3 linked regions of the Oryzias latipes genome follow. The protein of the gene in region 2 interacts with the protein of the main gene of each other region in a biochemical or structural test. Links are inferred from orthologs where the notes say so. Each region holds a gene or a part of one and is shown on either strand. Other genes may lie near its edges.

The links.
Region 1: of the proteins of prkaa1 (region 2) and rack1, one has a biochemical effect on the other in vitro, tested with the Homo sapiens proteins (2 studies listed by BioGRID). The link is inferred for Oryzias latipes from reciprocal best matches to the Homo sapiens genes PRKAA1 and RACK1.
Region 3: the proteins of prkaa1 (region 2) and cftr form a complex in vitro, tested with the Homo sapiens proteins (2 studies listed by BioGRID, with this or other methods). The link is inferred for Oryzias latipes from reciprocal best matches to the Homo sapiens genes PRKAA1 and CFTR.

Annotation. Positions count from the first base shown.
Region 1 is NC_019868.2:17,071,915-17,076,250, reverse strand, and holds the start of rack1 (receptor of activated protein C kinase 1), read right to left. Parts: upstream 2,835-4,336; 5' UTR 2,718-2,834; coding exon 2,609-2,717; intron 2,242-2,608; coding exon 2,070-2,241; intron 1,345-2,069; coding exon 1,197-1,344; intron 929-1,196; coding exon 833-928; intron 624-832; coding exon 513-623; intron 266-512; coding exon 125-265; intron 1-124. UniProt on the Homo sapiens protein: Scaffolding protein involved in the recruitment, assembly and/or regulation of a variety of signaling molecules. Interacts with a wide variety of proteins and plays a role in many cellular processes.
Region 2 is NC_019870.2:7,430,088-7,433,738, reverse strand, and holds part of prkaa1 (5'-AMP-activated protein kinase catalytic subunit alpha-1), read right to left. Parts: intron 1,038-3,651; coding exon 518-1,037; intron 1-517. UniProt on the Homo sapiens protein: Catalytic subunit of AMP-activated protein kinase (AMPK), an energy sensor protein kinase that plays a key role in regulating cellular energy metabolism.
Region 3 is NC_019864.2:3,335,220-3,338,870, reverse strand, and holds part of cftr (cystic fibrosis transmembrane conductance regulator), read right to left. Parts: intron 2,698-3,651; coding exon 2,603-2,697; intron 1,975-2,602; coding exon 1,888-1,974; intron 1,631-1,887; coding exon 865-1,630; intron 766-864; coding exon 637-765; intron 554-636; coding exon 516-553; intron 254-515; coding exon 1-253. UniProt on the Homo sapiens protein: Epithelial ion channel that plays an important role in the regulation of epithelial ion and water transport and fluid homeostasis. Mediates the transport of chloride ions across the cell membrane.

The sequences.
Region 1 (4,336 bases), on a different chromosome or scaffold from region 2:
TAGTCTGGAGCTCAGAAACAGCCTCTGTTATCATCAAGCAATACAGTTAGCATTTTCAAGTTTCATCAAGGCCCATCAAACCACATTCAGCAGTAGTTCCACATCATCACGTAGGAGCTCTCACCCAGATCTTGATGCTAGGGCCAGTGGCGGCACAAAGCCAGTAGCGGTTGGGGCTGAAGCAAAGGGCATTGATGACATCGCCGCTGTCCAGGGTGTACAGGTGCTTGCCCTCGTTCAGATCCCAAAGCATAGCCTGGCCGTCCTGATTGAGAGAACATTAACAAGAAAATAAGCCATGACCACACAGCAGCTCTGTTCTGGATCTTCATTTAGCGTGGCTTTACGACTCAGTGTCACTCAGAAACAGCCTCTTTTGTCATCAATTGTTTACCAACAGAATGATGTGTTATTTATCCATCACAGTTGACACCTGGAGGTCGGCCTTTGTGTGCCATCACTAAAAATCTTCACAAGTATACGAGTCGAGTTCTCCAACTGAACCAGCTTACCTTTCCACCGGATGCACACAAGGAGCCGTCAGGAGATACGGTCACCGTGTTCAGGTAGCCAGTGTGGCCGATGTGGTTAGTCTTCAGCTTGCAGTTCGCCAGGTTCCACACCTATAGAAACAGCAGCAGACAGTGACCGTCAAGTTTACACTGACATGAAAAGACCAGATAAAACTGTGGAGACGTGCTCTCATCCACAAAGCTTCTCATCAGAAACCAGGTCAGGTAATACATGCAAACTTCTTTAAAATCATGGAGCATATTTTTCTATTGTTTTTAAATCAATCTAATGGCAAATGAAGGGAAGCGGAAGTACAAACCTTGACCATCTTGTCCCAGCCGCAGGAGACAATAATGGGGTTGCTGCTGTTTGGAGAAAAGCGAACACAAGACACCCACTCAGTATGGCCTTCATCCTGCAAAATCAAACACATACGGTTTTACAGGAATCTATTTGATTACAGGTCAATGCTTATGTGATTTTTTAAAATAAATTTACAAAATTTACAAGCACGAGATTATCAGTAAAGCCTTTCTTTTTGAAGGTTAGCGACTTAATTTGCTTAACTTCATGATCTGACCGTCATGTCAACTCTTCACAGGAGTTCAAAGTCAATAAAATCCTGCAGCACGGATAAGGACGTCATAAGATCTACAAAGAGGCAGCATTATCCGGCAGCTCACCTGAATGGTGTACTTGCAAACGCCGAGAGTGTTCCACAGCTTGATGGTCTTGTCCCGAGAGCCAGACACGATCTGGCGGTTATCAGCAGAGAAGGCCACGCTCAAAACATCCTTGGTGTGTCCAACAAATTGGCGGGTGGTGAGCCCTCTGAAAAATGGCACATTTACCTATTAGCAAGAGGCTTTCAATAAAAAAAAAAAAAAACATGAAGAGGACGCCTGTCATCACACCACAGCTAAGAAATACACTCCACAACAGACGGACCAAGAAAGGAACATCAATAAAGGTTTGCCTTTAGAAAGCTGTGAAACTATCAAATGTAAACAAAAAAAGGTAAAGGCTAGAGACAATAGTACATTAAAACAAGTCAGTTCAATCCCATAAAATATAAACAGGATAGATCTCCATCAAAATGACTAAACATACAAGTTGAGAGAATTTGGCATTTAAAGATGATGTGAGGTGGAATGAATTAAAAACAATGAATTTAGGTTGACTGGACGTTTCATGACTTGTGAGGCTCCTAGAAACAACTAAAGCTGTAAACTGGTGCTTAAAAAACTGAAATGACTGGACTGGATGCAGGTAAACCTCATTTTAAAAAGAAACATGCTAAATTGATTTCCAAATCTCTCAATAGCAAAACAACAAAACTAATCTGAAATCTAAGGTATTTATATGCATCATGGAATGTAATCAGTAAATGTACTCGTCTTCTTTTGATAGTCTTTAGTACATATGTGTTAGGCATCTTTTCAAAATACATCCCATTTTCTCCACAAATGAATGGCTGGCTGGCAGCTGCTTCACATAAATGATTAAAATCATGCTGCCACCAACCACTAAAGAGATGCTTCCTGCCCTTCACTTACGTGGTGAGGTCCCACAGGCGGAGGGTTCCATCCCAGGCTCCTGACAGGGCAAACTGTCCATCAGAGGAAATCACAACATCACTTACAAAGTGAGAGTGGCCCTTCAGGGAGCGCTGGGGGATGCCATAGTTGGTCTCATCACGGGTCAGTTTCCACATGATGATAGATTTGTCTGAAAGCAAGAGATACTTTAGATAAACACATTCAAACCACTTTTATATTTATTCAGATACATTTTTTTTTTCAAAATAAAATGTGCATCAATAAGAAAAGTGCTTCAGTTACAACTAAGTTTTTTTGAGGTAGCAGCTGCCACATATTATGCTATGTCACAGGAAGCTAGCTTACCTCTTTGCTAACATGTCTACAAATGTTCATTTTGCATCACTTTATATACGGTAAAAACCTCCGTAGTTGTTTATTAAATCTAGCTGGTTTCATTTACTCACGCAACAAATTCAAAGTTACAGCATTTTGAACGCAAGCAGCTGAGAGCTAACGTTAGCCATGTTGGCGGTGCCGGCGGGGCGAAGCCTCACCTCGGGACGCCGACAGAATCATGTCGGGGTATTGAGGTGTAGTGGCGATCTGTGTGACCCATCCACTATGCCCCTTCAGGGTCCCCCTTACTGTCATCTGCTCAGTCATTTTGGGGAGGTTCGGTGGTGCCTTTTACAAGGATGGATTCGGATTTTAGACAGGTTCAGCCGAACCTAGCTCCTCATCGCATCTAGGCACAGAGGAAAAGGAAATACGACCCCGGATGCAGAAACTATGAAAGGTCGCGCAAAGGATTCTGGGACGGGTGGACTTGACTACACCGCAGTAGTCTGCTTTACGCCATTGATGTATGCACCTCTTAGCTTGTTTTTCAATTAAAAGTTCTCTTAAAGAAAGGGGAAAAAAATCCCAATAGTTATCTTTATTACGTACGGAAGAAGATTAGGACCACGGAGAAAGGGAAATTCTCACTTTATCTCAGAATTCAAACCTTTTCTATCTCAATAATGTCAGATTTCTGACTTTATTCAGAATTCTAAATTATCCAGTCAGAGTTCTAGACTTTTTTTTACGACTTCTGGCTTTTTTCTTCGGATTCTAACCCCCTCCCCCCATTTTAACCTAATTAATTAATCTAATTGGTCTAATTTAAACTTTTTTTACTCTGTGCTGTTTAAAATAATCTCAGATTTCTGACTCTTTTTTTACTTCGATTGTCATTGTGTTGTCAGAGCAAAGTGTTTGGACAGCCACAGCCACATCCACTTATGGCAGCAAAGGAGTGGCAACGTAAAAAGCATTTCAAGATGAACTTTTGTTTCTGATCAAATACCGTACTCTTTTTCTGTGCCCGTTTAACCCTTGTGCTATCCTATGACCCCCACCCTTACATTGACGTGTTATTCCTACCATGAAAAAAGTGGATAAAGGTGGAAAGATTTCATGTAATCCATGGACACCAGTGAAGATCACAAATCATTGAAGAAAAAAGGTTCAGTGAACTGTGGGTCTAGATGACCCAACTCCCAACGTTAAAGTGCCTAGGATAGCACAAGGGTTATACAAACACATTTTTAAAAATCATACAATGTGATCAGCTAGATTTTTTTAACATGTTGTCGTCTTTCAAAGTTGAATAGTATCTATGATGAACATTACTGACCTGTCATTTTAAAAGTGCGACATCTTGAAGAATCAGTGACTGCCAAATGCTTTTTTTGTTACTGTGCTGTACTTCCATTCATTATATTACAGATTGTTTTTTTTATTCGAAAATAATCAATTTTGCATTACTGCGATGTTACTTTATTTTGATCATGCAGAAGCAGAGGAGACAAATATACGACAAAGAATTCTATATTTGAATGAGGTGTAAGGCAGTTTGTATGATGATCCATCTTTTTGGAATTGTTTTTTTAATTCAAGCACACAAAACAAAAGAAAGCAGAAACAAAAGAAGCCAAATAGCTAGGATCTGTTCGTGATGCCAGAATTTTTAGGGAGTCATAATTGTGCCCCAAATTTCACCAGGGTATAATTTACCTTCATTTTTTATACAATGTCATGCATTTAATGTTATGTAAATTATACACTTTAACTGCCATTATAGGACATTTCAGTGGTTACTTGCTGGGGGACAGGGGGTATCCTTGTCTGCCATATCTGATGACCCCCTACCCTGATCCTCAGACTCGACAACAGGCACAGTTCAACCTGACCCACAGCAGAACACGGGTCAGGGTGGAGATGACTATAGGCATCCTGAA
Region 2 (3,651 bases):
ATGTTAGAAAATCTGTGCTAACTGATGTTTGTTGAAACTAATATTGCATATTGACCACAGAATAACAGGAAACATATATTTTTTATGAAGGAAAAGTGAAAATTTCTCTCCTAAATTTGACCGTTTTGTAGTTAAGCTTTAATGTTTGGCCTCACTGTGGGATCTTCTGCATGAAGGTTCTTTTTCGTTTAGTGTGTAAGCTAGAAACTTAATTTCAACTAGGAAAAAAATTGTTATTAAACAGATTTTTATCTTAAGATTCTTGAGTTAGGTGAGATGGATAGAGAACCTCTTCAAAGATCAGGATGAAGGTCTGTTCATTAAAAAAATAGATTGTGTGGATTTAACGGGTCAGAACATGTTACAGGTTCTGGGATTTTAAAATGCTTGAGTCGCAACAAGCTAAGGAGTTCAAACAACATTTCAGTAGTGGCCATTTCATTTAGCAGGTGTCCATCTGGCGTGCAGACATGTTTGGCAGGAACCCATCCCCACACCGCTCAGAGGGACGTCCTACCTTCCACTCATAATCCAGCTGTTTCATGGCGCGGCACACTTCCGACATGATGTCATTGGGTCGGCTCTGACTACGGATCCCCAGGTGCCACTTGGCTCTCCGGACGCCCTGGTGCTTGGACTTCTGGGGGTTCAGTTCGTCCAGGGTGTGGCGGGGCCTGGGCGGAGTTTCCGCCACGAGGAAGGGTACCCGCTCGGGGTGGGGCTTTAAAACGCCAGCCACGGCTGCGGCGGAGGAAGTCAGGTGCTGGTCGTCCAAGAAGGAGTCGGGAGGGCTGGACGCCAGGTAGAAATCCTTGGCTTCGCTCATGATGCGCCGATTGTCAATGATGAGATGGTAAGCCACAGCTAATGGATCCTGATGGTTGCGGCTGTATAAGCAGGACAGAACCTCCTCCTCTGTGCACTCGAACTTCTCACAGACCTCCTTCAGGGCCTCGTCATCTATCATGTTGTTGCTGTAGGAGGGGTCCTCAGGGAACAAGTACTTGGGTAGATCTTGTTTAAACCAATCGTCCTCCCTGTGGGGAGCACACACTAGTTAATTTACAAAAAAGTGAGCGTTTGGTGTCTATAACATGTTCTTATGGCATTTTTCTGATGGAGGAGGAAAAATATGAAGAGAATTAGGCTTAAAATTGCTTTTCTGAGTATTTCTTCAATAAAATCGCAAATCAGGAGCAGACAAAAATATGTAGTTTGAAAAAGATTGTATTGGTTATGCTACTCCCTGCTCTGCTCTATTCTGATAGATGACTACATCCATGTCCGCCTTTGTTTTCCTTGTTTGATCTGGCATATCTGGCTTAGAAGATATGGCTGGATAGCTCCACTATTGCTCGCCATTTTTGTCGCACCGATAATGTCAGGTTTGGGGTGTGAGGGCTGTGAGCTGGTGGAAAAGCATGTAAACAGAGAGCTCTCAGCAAGGGGGGAAGGTAAGGGGGGGCAGGATTTCCTCCATGCCAGCGTTCCCGCTCACAACTTTCTACTGAACTCCTGCCGCTCTGCAGAAACTATTTCCTAGAAAACCACACAGGTTTTTTTTGTTTTGGCTAAAGACGGCACACACATAACTGAGAGGTCTTGGGGAATGCATTCGCAATAGATCACAATATGATCAGTCGGGGTGCAACGGATCATGGTACGCATCACTAGCCACGGTTCGGCACACACATGTACCACAGATCAAGCCCCAGTCTCGCTTCTCGTGTGCAACTTGTGTCCGCATCATTTAAATCAACCGTCTATTCACAACGAACGCCATTCACGTGTTAAATTTCCATGTCTCCGTTTTTGTTATAACATGCCTTAGTTCCTGCCTGACACACGTCCAAAAAGGTGTTAAGTTAAAGCCCCGTGGCGTGTGGGAGGAGCTTCCGTCTAATGCTTTTCTCGACTTCATCATGGAGGACGTGGATGATGAGGGATCAGTTCTACAAAAGCATCGATGAGCAGCGCACGTCTCTGTGTGTGAGTTCCTGACATCATTCAGAGACTCTCACAGCCAGGAGCAGGCGGTAGAAAGCCACCGCCCCATCTGTAACCAGTGGGAGGGGTTTTATAGCAGCGAGGGACACAGTGAAAGACTGTCAACTCATAAATTCTGACTTCATTTTTTTGAATATATATACATTTTTTTTCTAGACTCAATGTGTCATATTGCACTTCGTTTACATGGGCATGCTGAGTATTTTTTCTAGATAGGAATATCTTGAGTTCAAAGATGTTATTCATTTTTTGTTTTTGTAAATATTTTACAAACATTTGTGTGTGTGTGTGTGTGTGTATACATTTTGAAGTACTTGATATTTTTAATTGAATATATGTTTTGAAGCTTTTCCAAACATTAATTGTAGGCCTCTTTCTTGTTTTTATTTCCTTTTTACTGATCCAAAATAATGATCAAAACAGGACTCCCACTAATGCACCCGGAAGGGTCTTTAAGGTGTATTTTACTCAAAGCGCTCTCAGAAAATACGGGAGAGAACGGAGGTTTAACCCCCAGTGATTCTGACATCAGCAACACTGTTACAACTAAAACATGAGCGCACTGTTTACAGGAAACAAACCCACTCAACAGGTCGGCTACAGTCTAGAGTGCACATTCCTCCAGGGTCACGTGGTGTTAAAGTGAGCGAGGTCTGCCGTTTAATCAAAGCCATCAAGGAAGTGTGCAGTAGAGGCAGCTGTCAGCAGCTTCTGCCTCTGCCACAAGAGTCCTCTGGGGAGGCTCAATTCTCCTCCTAGAGCCTCCTCCAATAACTGAGGCCCACTTTGGCCCTGAGGCTAAAAATCTAGGAACTCTTGGAAGAAAATGATCAGGAATTGGGAAAAAGTTGCATAAGTTTCACAAATTAAAGTTCTTTAGCCTTTTTTTGGGGAGAAAACTTTCAGGATTCAATAGAGCAGATTGATGAGCTTGCCTGCATTCACCACACAGCAGCTTCCCTAGAGTTTATTTATATGTTGGTTCCTTGCAATATCGTGGTTTATCTCACAATGTTGCTTTTTTTTTTGCAGATTTTTGTGTGCGATTTTGCATGCTACTGTCAACCAATCTCTGTGCTGTGTCTCCTGTCCAGAACGTGTTCAGTTTTCAAAATCTTTGATCAGACCTTTGTTTTCATTCTATAGTATTACATTTATTTGTCTATTATGGTTTCAACTTTGAGAATTTAAACAAAGGAGTAAAGTGTGAAACTGTTCATGAATTTCTGAGAAAAGTATATCAAGAGCATTGTGAGGGGTTTTACAGCCTTAATAGATATTTGTAAAAAATAAAGTTGACTACTTTGCAACCATTGACTGTATACGAGAACTGGACTGAGTGAGTGTGACCTCACCCATAGAAAATGGATTACTTCCAGCTCCAACGCCATCTTTTCCTGATATGGACACCGCCATGTTGGAGCCCGACGTCACTAAGCTGTGATTGGTCTGGGTTGGTCGGTGTCCTTATTTCTATGGCCAATCAGGAGTGAGCTTATTGAAAGTCCACACCCCTTTCACTTGAAAGCGGCGGGCTACATGAAATCTGTTTATCAGACGTTCTGAACGTTCGACGTGAGGGCCAGCAGGCACCACCTACTTTTATCGAGGCATCAATTGGTCGGTTTTAAACTTGAATGAAAA
Region 3 (3,651 bases), on a different chromosome or scaffold from region 2:
GCGCAGCACAGCGCTCAGCATCTGCTCATGAAGTCGTTCGGAAACGGTGAGCAGTGAGTGCACCAAAGGAAGGCCCCTGAAGACTCCGAGGGCCAGTATGCTGTCTGAATGGGCCACAAAGATGTAAATAATGTAATAGGCGCTGGTCGGAGTCACAATAACTGCCAGATGGACCGGGGGGGACGAGGAATTGATGGGCTGATCATCGATGTAGTTGGGTGAGTTTGGGTTGGCACCATCTCTCCAGACTTTACTGATAAAACAGAGCAGAAGACAGAAAGTCACGCTATGCTTCAACGGAAAAATGATCACATTTTGTCTTAAGGTTCAAAACATCCACTTAATTCTAGAAACCTACCATTGATAAGGTTCATAATTAAACATAATGTGAAAAGGAAAACATTTCCAAAAAACTCCAACAAACACTCCAAAACAAATATCTCAGACTCTGAAAACTAGATTTCTGTTTGACAATGAAGAGTTTTATTTCAGTTTTGAGGAACACTGACACTCACTCTGTTATGAGAAAAATACCAATGACTGAACCAGCAACCTATCAGTGGAGACAAGGACAGAGATGTTCATATTATGCTCACAACTTTAAAAGCATGGACTTGAAAAGGGTTTGAATCTTACCTCAATGGCAAAAACAATAGCAATGAAAATAAGGACATATATCAGGGTTTTGTTGGTGGAAACATAGCGGAGGTAAGTGCTCCACGAGGTAGTCACAAAGACATTCTCACGCTCATCTGCAAAGCATTGCTGTGGAAAACAGAAGAGACACTTGTACCCAGATGTTGACTGAAGAACATTTGTTTGCATTTGATAACACATGAAAAAAAGCCTGTGTATTGGGCACACCTCCATGTCTTCTTCCTCCACCTCTTCTGTGATCTCAAAAACGCTGTCCTTGGACAGGCGCCGTGCATAGATGTCCAGCTCTGTTGCCAGGTCGTACTGTGGTGTGACAGACAGCTTTTTTCTGAACGATGACTGCATCCTCTCTCTGCGGTCTTGGCCCTGAGCGTTAGTAATGAAAGCCAGGACGGACTGGCGCCGCTGTCCACCGAGGTGCTGCAGCCCGTGGTGGTACAGGTTACTCCTTGGAAGTGCTTCCTCCACTTGATCATCCTCCGGCACCACAGAGAATCTTCTGTCGGAAAGTTCATTGCCACCCTCCTCCATGAGTGACGGCTGGAGTGTGCCTGTCTGCTGGGAGTTCCCTATAAAGGAGATTTTGCGAGCAGCTGCAATGGGGTTAAGGATGAGAGACTGTTTGCGTTTTTCAGGGTATCCATCAACCCCGTTGTGACCCTGAGGTGGCGCGTGCTGGAACGACTGGCGAAGTGCTTCCGGGCCTCGGAAGCCAGCGGTTTCGTCAACCGAGACCCTGCGAAGAGTTTCTGTGAGAATGGAAGAGCGTCGCTCCGCGACAATGTTGTCATAAGCTTCAAGACCAAGCAGGAGGGAGCTGAAGTCGGGGCGTTGTGCCTGCAGCTCTGAAAATGTACCATAAAAGTAACACTCTCCGTTGTGCAGCATGAGGATTTTGTCTGAACGCTTGAGGTGCTCTAGCTTGCTGGTGACCACAACACGGGTCTTGGAGCCCATCAGCTTACAGACACATCTGTGGAAAGAGGATGAGGCATGCTCAAATGGATCTTTAGCAAAATATACAAACGGTTTCTGTTGAAAAGCACATATTGGAATGCAGAATAAGGTGTCTCATGACACCAGACATCATTTCATCAGAGTGTAATTCTTACAGACCGACTGCTCACCACAGCTAATAAACATGAAACAACAAGAGAAAACCTTAACCTTGAACTTTAGCATCCCTCCCACCCCACTGCTGCTTGAAAGAGTTTCTGTCGGCATACGTACTTATCAAAGACCTCTTTCTCTGTTGCAATGTCCAGGTGGGTGAAAGGAGCATCCAGCAGGTAAAGGGCTGCATCTTTATACACACTCCTGGAAGACAGAGTGCCAATGCAGCCAGTCAGAGAAGAACACAAAGGAAAAACATTAAAAATAAGAGTTGAAGTAAAGAGAAAACAATGAGCACAGCTGTTCCTAAACATGAAGCAAAGGAAAGGTGAGGAAATACAGTAAATCATTCCAGCTGACCCTTTCCAGTGAGGGTAGAAACAATCAGAGGCCACAAATCACTGCTACAACATAACACTAATAAATCGTTCACAGGAAAATGAGAACATGTCTGATGATTTGTTTCTGCATAAACAGTAAAACATTTTAAGGAGTTTTTTCACACACAATCAAAACAGAAAGCAAACCATCCTCTGTGAAGGGACAGACTATTTTGATAACAGCGAAAAATTCCTTTTTCCCTCTGGATTTCCACTGATAATCAAAGCAGCTGGATTATAAATGTACCTTTGTAATTTAAAATGATTAAAAATTAATATTCCTAAAATATTAAATAAACTTTTAGTAATTCCCAAACCGTTTGAATCCTTCACATGTTACTTTAAAATAATGTTATTGGACTTTTTAACTTTTTTTTTTACTTCATTCGTGCCCACATTTGGTGAAAACAAAGGTCTGTGCCCAGACTGATGCACAGCTGTGCAGTCAGTACCTGGCCAAGCAGATGCGTGCCCTCTGACCGCCGCTGAGCGTCGATCCTCCTTCACCAAGAGCTGTCTTGTCTTTTTCAGGCAGTGACGCAAAGTCCTTAAGAGAGAAAAACACGTTTATCAGCATGATTCCCCCGTAAAAGTAAAAAGGGGAATTTATTGAAACCGAATTTTGAAATTTGCTAGAGATCAAACTAAGAAAGTAAAGCATTGAAAAGCCTTTGCTTGTATGTCCAAAGAGGCTCAATCCTGACTTGAGTTTAAATGGATCAACAACAATAAAGTTTCTCAAAGGAGAAAGAAAAAAAAACTATAAATGAGAATGAAACACAAACAAATACAGCATTTGATAGTTCCTTATCACAGAAACAAGAATACTCTGCTCTGGAGTGTGTTGCAAAGATTTTAGCACCAGCCCCTCCCAACCCACGAAAATGAGCGGGTCCTCACATTGTGACGTCACAAAGGAAGAACAGCCCCTTCCAGGAAGAGTCTGTGCTGCCAGCCCCGCCCCCTGGCTAACACACACACTCACGTTCTCCACTGAGCTAGCGATGATCGGCTAAATGCTTTCATTTGATGTGCACAACATGGACATCAATCTTTGCAAAACTTTAGATGTTGCTTGTTTTTGTGGGTGAAACGCAGAAGACGACTCTAGATTGACGTCATTAAATGGGCGGCACCCACATGGAGCGGACGGCAGTGACTCTAAGAATGAGCTGTGTTACTTCAGAAAATGAGCTGTGAAAATAACCAATAATTTCATTTACAAAAATAGTTCCTAAGTGTGCCAAAGGTAATATATTATCACATATATGGATCTAGCCACAGGGGTTGCAATCTAGCCACAGGGGTTGCAAGCCAGTAACTTCTGTGCCGGTCCCAAGCCCGGATAAATAGAGAGGGTTGCGTCAGGAAGGGCATCCGGCGTAAAAATTGCCAAAATAACCATGCGAATCATCCACGAGAAAGATTTAGACATACCGGATCGGTCGAGGCCCGGGTTAACAACGACCGCCACCGATGCTGTTAACCTACAGGGTGTCGG